2 linked regions of the Bombyx mori genome follow. The protein of the gene in region 1 purifies or fractionates together with the protein of each later gene. This does not show direct contact. Links are inferred from orthologs where the notes say so. Each region holds a gene or a part of one and is shown in the gene's direction. Other genes may lie near its edges. The genes, in order: sec1 family domain-containing protein 2 and syntaxin-18.

Region 1 (3,835 bases):
AATATTTTGCTTTATATGAAATTTATATCACATATAAATGTTTAGATTTTATTTAGTAATTGTGATGCAAGACTAAACATATCTTAGGTGGATAATTAGTAAAAAGGATGCACAGTGCACCTTGAGAATAACTTTTAGATGAGGTGACAAGCAAAATGTCACGCTTATGCAATGTCATGTTACAATGAGTGAGTGAATAAGAGAAAGATTATTATCGAAAATAAGATGTGATGATGTAAACAAGCAGACAGAAATTGTAGTTAGCAGTAATACTTTTAGTATTCTTTTGCTCTAAATAGACAGAGGAGATCATGGCAAACTGTCTATTATATAATGCTGGAGCTTGCAGACATCATAATGAGAGTCCTACCTTGAAACATGGGGTTCAAGTTTCATTGTCTAGCATAAACATTGTTCAAAACGGAGATCTTGTTTGCGATACCTGCGAGTTTAGTTTGTGGCCCTTAATATGTGCTAATGTGTGCTCCTGTAGTACATTTAATCTTAGTTGATGATGACTTTGTTTTTTTTTTTTATTGCTTAGATGTGTGGACGAGCTCACAGCCCACCTGGGGTTAAGTGGTTACTGGAGCCCATAGACATCTACAACGTAAATGCGCCACCCACCTTGAGATATAAGTTCTAAGGTCTTAGTATAGTTACAACGACTGCCCCACCCTTCGAACCGAAACGCATTACTGCTTCACGGCGGAAATAGGCGGGGTGGTGGTACCTACCCGTGCGGACTCCCAAGAGGTCCTACCACCAGTGAAAAAACTAACAATAATTGTATATCAGTATTACTATTAACATTGGAACCTCTGGGTCTGCGGAGGGACTTTGGATGCCTCTGTATTTTGTACCGTGTGTTCCATGGGGAGTGCTCTGAGGAATTTTTTGAGATGATCCCCTCATATCCTTTTTATCGGGAGGTGCGATCCCGTCATCGGAGCAGAGTTCATCCATATTATCTGGAACCGCTGCGTTCATCGACAGTGCGTTTCCAAAGGTCTTTTTTTGCCAAATACCATCCGGCTATGGAATGAGCTCTGCTCCACGGTGTTTCCCGAGCGCTATGACAGTTCCTTCTTCAAAAGAGGCTTGTGGAGAGTATTAAGCGGTTGGCAGCAGCTTGACTCTGCCCCTGGCATTGCTGAAGTCCATAGGCGACGGTACCCACTCACCATCAGGTGGGACGTAAGCACGTATTACTACGATGGGCAATAAAAAAAAACATTAATATGGATAATCCAAAGTACATTATTAAATGTTACGTATATTAAATGATAATAAATGTGTTTTTATACCATCGATATATTATTTTAGAATCACCCATCCAGATGACCTACAACTAAGCCCGGGCTGTCTCTACCACGCGAACGATGATATATGCACACAAACCTTTGAACACATGCTAAACAAGTCTCAAAAGGAAGTGATGTTTGATTTATACAATAAATTGTCAAAGTTGGACGTACAGCGGTCACCGAGTCCCAAGACTCTGCTCAGGGTTACTCCACAGAGCGTCGACAAGATCGTTACGGCGGCTAAAGGTAATTTTCATTTTATATGTTAGGATATACAAAGAAAACGTGTTAAAAAATAATAGTTTAAAAAAACTAACAAAATACGCTTTTATAGAAAATCCAACTATAAAAGAGAAAAATAATTTTAATAAATTTGATTTAAAAATAGTGTAAGAAAAAATGATTTTATTGTAAAAAAGCGTATTTTGTTAGTTTTTTTAAACTATTATTTATTTTTCATTTTTTAGTTGAATAATATTTTTTTTCAATTTTTTGTTTATCAATATTTTTTTAGTATTGAATTATCATCGGTCCTTAATAAGTAAACCAAATTTCGAGTTAATCCGACGTTTTCAAGGTGTTCAAAATCATGTTCCGTTCAGATTCCGTTACAGACTGGTGGTAGGACCTCTTGTGAGTCCGCACGGGTAGGTACCACCACCCTGCCTTCTTCTGCCGTGAAGCAGTAATGCGTTTCGGTTTGAAGGGTGGGGCAGTCGTTGTAACTATACTAAGACCTTAGAACTTATATCTCAAGGTGGGTGGCGCATTTACATTGTAAATGTCTATGGGCTCCAGTAACCACTTAACCCCAGGTGGGCTGTGAGCTCGTCCAACCAACTAAGCAATAAAAAAAAAGGCATACACACGTCTGAAGCTAATAAAAGCGTATTAAAAATTATAAAACTCATTACAGGGAATTATGACGTAATAAGCAATCATCTAGGCATACTACAGCTGGCATTAGCCGTCGTACAAACGTTGAAGTCGCCGAGACGAGCTCAATTGGAACTCCTGGCGAGCTTAGAGAAACAGGTCCTTCAGAATTTGGGTGCCAGCCGAGACTCCACTAGTGTTTTGCAACAGGTGCGTTGTTAGTACTTACTTCAAACGGGCAGCTGAGTTGATGGTTTTCCAGGTGCCATAAGGTTCGCAGAGCATAGATACTACTATATAAAGCTCATAATTTTAGCTTGAAGATTCAATAATAACAATTTAAGTAGGTCTACAAATAATGACTGTTTAGTAATTTTTTACAAACCTGTACTACAGTATAGTTTTGTAAACTGAAAAGGAAACTATTCAGTACTAGTAGATAAGTTAAGTGTTAACCGATTTTTGGTAGCTATTGTGAAGTTTGAATAAAAATCATTAACTAAAAGAATTCTGGGAACAGACACAAATAAGTTTTGAAAGTTTTTATTTATTTTACCTTCTTTCAAAATATTTTCAGATGAGTACATTAATAAAATCCCGTAAAGAACGCAATTTGCCTTTGGATAATCTGCTCGCGTTAATCATTCACATATACTCTCTCGGCGGTACTGAAGTCACATTCTCAAAAACTCATGAACAGGATCTAATTGAGGCTCTCAGTGTTGCCATGTTCGAAGATCACAAAAGCTTATTTCCTCAAGTTGAAGGGCATATAGTAACACCGGAGGAATGTGATGAGATTTCTCAAAAAACATTGAAGCGACTAAAGGAAATAGCATTGATGAGGAAAAATTTGCAGAAGTATGTTTTTTTTTTAATATTCTTTCAATATGCAAACATTTGTTTAATAGTTGTTTTTTTTTCACTCATTGTATTAGAAGAAAATCTTCTGGGTCAGTTTCTACAAAATAAAGCAGGCACATATTAAATCTTAATAAAAAAAAAACAGCAATGCATTTAGATTTGTTAAGCAAACCCATAGATGTGTCTCTTCAAACTGTAATGCATGAAAATTTCCGACAGAAATGGAAATGTTAATAATTAAAACTACTTTCGAGGTTTACTTAACCTTTACTAGCGACCCGCCCTCGCTTTGCTTCGGAAACTGTAATTTATTATTGATTTCTCCACTATTTAATGGATGTTATTATACATATAAATCTTCCTCTTCAATCACTCTATCTATTAAAAAAAACCGTATCAAAATCCGTTGCGTAGTTTCAAAGATTTAAGCATACATAGGGACAGACAGATATAGGGACAGAGAAAGCGACTTTGTTTTATACTGTGTAGTGATTAGAAAGCATAGTGTTACCTATTCATCCGACCTCATCATATAGTTAACCACTTGTATTCTAAATACAATTACGTTTCTAAATACACAGATACAACTCGTTAATAAAGACAAGCGAGACAGGAATCGGGCACGAATACCGCGGCCTGTTACTGCAGCTAGTCGATGACCTCGTGGACACGGATAGACCAGAACTAACAGACCTGCGACACAGAAATGAGGGTATCAAAGATTTGCTGAGAAGCGGCTTGAAGTGAGTATAGTTTTAATGTATATGGGGCTCTCGTGCGAAGTGTAA
Region 2 (3,935 bases), on another chromosome or scaffold:
CAAAACAAATAACTTTTTTGTATTCTTTTAGAGTTATTGGATTCTCAACTTTTGAGCCGATCACTTAGTTTAAGTGATTATCTATGGATCATTTCACCACTTGTTTTTCCTACCTTAGCTGATTGTCGAGAGAGACCATGTCAGCGTCACCAGGCTAGCTCACCTAAGCTCACGGGGCTCAAACCTGAAGACGTTGCTAACACGAACCCTGGCAAGAGCCGTGCTTCGCAGAATCTACCACGGGATCGAAAACGCGACCCACTGAGAAGATCCGGCGAGAAACTCAGTGGGCTGTGTCTGTGGGTTAATTTACTCGCCGAGCCCTTCGTCGCGAGCGTCGGGTTCACCAAGAATGATGACCGGTGCTTGGGTTACTTAAAAGCACCGTTAGTGGATCTTTTTTTTTTATTGCCTTTGTATATATATCTTTTAAATCTCTGTCTTCAATGGGTTGATGTTGGATGGTTAAATTTGAGGTGATTGGGTTCTGTAGGTGATGGAGGGCTATTTAAAAACACACTGCTTCATTATAATTATATTGCAGATAGTTTGAACACCATTTTAAAATTATTATCTTTATATTTTTATAAAACTTCTTACATGTTTCTTTGACCGTGTCTAGATTAGAAGTATTGACTTTTTCTTACGAGAATACAATCATCTGTTTTTTAAACGTTTAAAATAATTCTAATATTCGAAATCTGTAATCATGCGTCAAGTGCTGCCTGCCATTACATTTATATTCAAACTCCAACAGTTGAACTGAATTAAATTCAATTCACCCAACTGAACTGAGAACTGTCTAAGCATCTTCATGCTTAGACAGTTCTCTAACAGACCTAAATTTGATCGTGTCTGCTGCACCACGCTCTGAGCGAAGCTCTCATAGCTGATATGTCATACATTATAACACAAATGTGAAACCTAATAAAAAAAAGAAACAAAAAAGTTAAAAATTGTGTATTTTTTCTAAACTTTGAAACCGAGTTTTAAAAAAAAGCAAGTGTTCAAATATCAGGCATGTACCTTATCTATTCTCGCCACAGTGAGCAAAAAAGTGCCTTAACATAGAAATAAAAAAATATATTTAAAAAATCATAACTCGAAAACTATTAAAAATCGCGGAACGTACATGGGGGTGGTTCGGATAGCCCTAGTGATGTTCTACCTCTGGACTTCGGCTTGACACTATTTTTTAGGGCACCCTGTATAAGCGACAGAAGCTTTATAGAGTGGTGTAACATTTATTTCTGTCTCTCTTCCGTCTCCATTCGATCTGAAATGCTTTCGGCTACTGTAAATTTACGAGCAAAAGACTTCAGATCAGATTGTGTATAATAATTTTTTTAAGGGATTTTATGACCTGATAACTTTCTTCGGATGTACATACTGACTTTTTATTTTTTCACATAAAATTATACGACTAACTAATTAATGCTAGGCAACAACTATTCTTCTTAATAAACTTATGATGGTTAGATGGTTGGATGGCAAGAAGACCAGTTCTAACATGAAGAAACACTAAATAGACAAAATAAAACAAATCACACAACTTCACTCCACGTGTTCCCGCCAAAAAGTCCATGTAGCCATCACAGATTAAAATATTTATTACTATTAAAATATTTATTACTACTTAAAGCCATGCTTACTTTGCCTTTTCAATTGGATAATTTTAAAAAGAGAATTTGGTTAGTGTCTACTCTGTGAGGACATTATTGATTTGTCAATTCAATTTGTCAAAAACGAGTAAAACTTACGTGTTATTGAAGGAAAAAACATTTAAAACATAAACAAATCCTCTTAAAATGGATATAACACCATTATTTAAGGCTTGCATAAAAACTGTTAAAACTCGTAACAAGGCTTTCGGCATACACAGTCCGATTAGCGAAGATAAGCAACGCATATTGAGGGTGAAATCAAAAAATGCTTTCATGGCAACAGCTAAGGATATTTGTTCACAAATTACAAAGCTTAGGGACTTTTTATTGGAACACCGCGATAAATATTTAAGCTTCTTCAATAATGTTACTGGAGACGATATGTCTGATGAAGAGCGCGACCAAATAGACACCGGTGCGCAACGTATCATGAACACATGCTCACACCTGCTAAAAGAGTTCAGGAATGATAATCGAAGAACTACAGTGACCCCACAAACTAGGGAATATATGGACTCAGTCGTAGATTTAATTGATGCTTATTTAAAAGCTGTTTGTAAAGTGCATAGTGAATTGAAAGCAATGAGAGTTAAGCGAGCTTTAGATATGAGAAAATTGTCTAGACTTGAGCTACCAGCGACCAAATCTAGTATTCCTAATCCGTTTACACTAGATAAGGTAATAGAAAAAGAGAATGAGACAGAAGATGAAAAAGAAAATACAAAAACAAAATTAGACTTATCAGAGAATGAGATGGCAATTATGTCTGATGAAGGAGAGTTGACTTCAGAAGAGTTGCAAATGTTTGAGTCGGAGAATGTACAGCTGTTAAATGAACTAAACAGTATGACGGAAGAAGTTAAACAAATTGAAAGCAAAGTACTACACATTGCAGAACTTCAAGAAATATTTACTGAAAAGGTAAAAGGTTAAAATTGAATAAATACATAAGCCATTTAAAAAAAAAAACAGATTACAAGAAAAGAATATCTGCCACCAGAGAGGATGAATGTTGTTTATTATAGTCTGTGTATTATATCTTTATAAAATTGCACATACTGGTACATACATATCATAACTATCTTGATCTTAAAATATTCATATTTGGATGTTCTTTCATACGTAAACTATTGGATGTAAATAAATTTTTCAAATCCATGATACTTTAATTGATTTATTTAGATTCAAATTGATATTACTGTTTGTAAAAGTATAATTAACAGTAGCGGTTAAGAATATCTGCCACCAGAGAGGATGAATGTTGTTTATTATAGTCTGTGTATTATATCTTTATAAAATTGCACATACTGGTACATACATATCATAACTATCTTGATCTTAAAATATTCATATTTGGATGTTCTTTCATACGTAAACTATTGGATGTAAATAAATTTTTCAAATCCATGATACTTTAATTGATTTATTTAGATTCAAATTGATATTACTGTTTGTAAAAGTATAATTAACAGTAGCGGTAGGCAGGTAGCTTTTAATAATGAGATATACAAACAGTTTGTCTGACATAAAATGTAAAAAGTGTAAATATGTTTCAGGTTTTACAACAAGAACAAGACATAGATAGAATATCGAATACAGTTGTCGGGGCAACTGAAAACGTTAAGGATGCCAATGAACAGATTAAGCAAGCTATACAAAGAAACGCAGGCCTAAGAGTATATGTTCTGTTCTTCTTACTGGTCATGTCGTTCAGTTTGCTGTTCCTAGATTGGTATAATGATTAAATTTAGTAGTTACTGGTGGTTTTGTGTTTCATTTTCTAAATAATGATAATTTTACAAAAAAAAGGAACAGTTTTGATGATAATAAAATGATCTTAATTGAAATTTTGGAATCAATGATGTTAATATTTTCGCTTTAAATAAACACGTTTTATCAGAGGCTTCTTATGTTTTTTTATGTGAATACGCAAATATTTCACTATCGGTTATATAAAATATACACTATTATTGCTAGAGTTTCGATCTATACTTTAGCCAAACATTTTTTTAGTTGTTTAAAATACAACTATACATATACTAACTAACTATTATACTTATGCTACTAACTTTAACTTATATGAATCTTAGTTGATAACATGAGAAAATGCTGTTAATTAACGTTGTACCATCTATATTATTTTAAAAATACCACTATTTTATTAATTTAGTTACAAATATAACTTCGGTTTTTTACCAGTCGACTAACTTGGCTGTATGTGCTATTTTCTCTTGGACTATCTATTTAAACGTCAAAGTCCAAACTGTCAAG

Evidence for each region.
Region 2: the proteins of sec1 family domain-containing protein 2 (region 1) and syntaxin-18 purify together in Homo sapiens (co-immunoprecipitation; 3 studies listed by BioGRID and IntAct, counting the BioPlex papers as one, with this or other methods). This does not show direct contact. The link is inferred for Bombyx mori from reciprocal best matches to the Homo sapiens genes SCFD2 and STX18.

The regions. Positions count from the first base shown.
Region 1 is NC_085114.1:11,519,993-11,523,827, forward strand, and holds part of sec1 family domain-containing protein 2, read left to right. Parts: intron 1-1,326; coding exon 1,327-1,553; intron 1,554-2,223; coding exon 2,224-2,393; intron 2,394-2,760; coding exon 2,761-3,044; intron 3,045-3,628; coding exon 3,629-3,790; intron 3,791-3,835. UniProt on the Homo sapiens protein: May be involved in protein transport.
Region 2 is NC_085127.1:13,549,926-13,553,860, reverse strand, and holds syntaxin-18, read left to right. Parts: upstream 1-1,668; 5' UTR 1,669-1,808; coding exon 1,809-2,585; intron 2,586-3,220; coding exon 3,221-3,409; 3' UTR 3,410-3,427; downstream 3,428-3,935. UniProt on the Homo sapiens protein: Syntaxin that may be involved in targeting and fusion of Golgi-derived retrograde transport vesicles with the ER.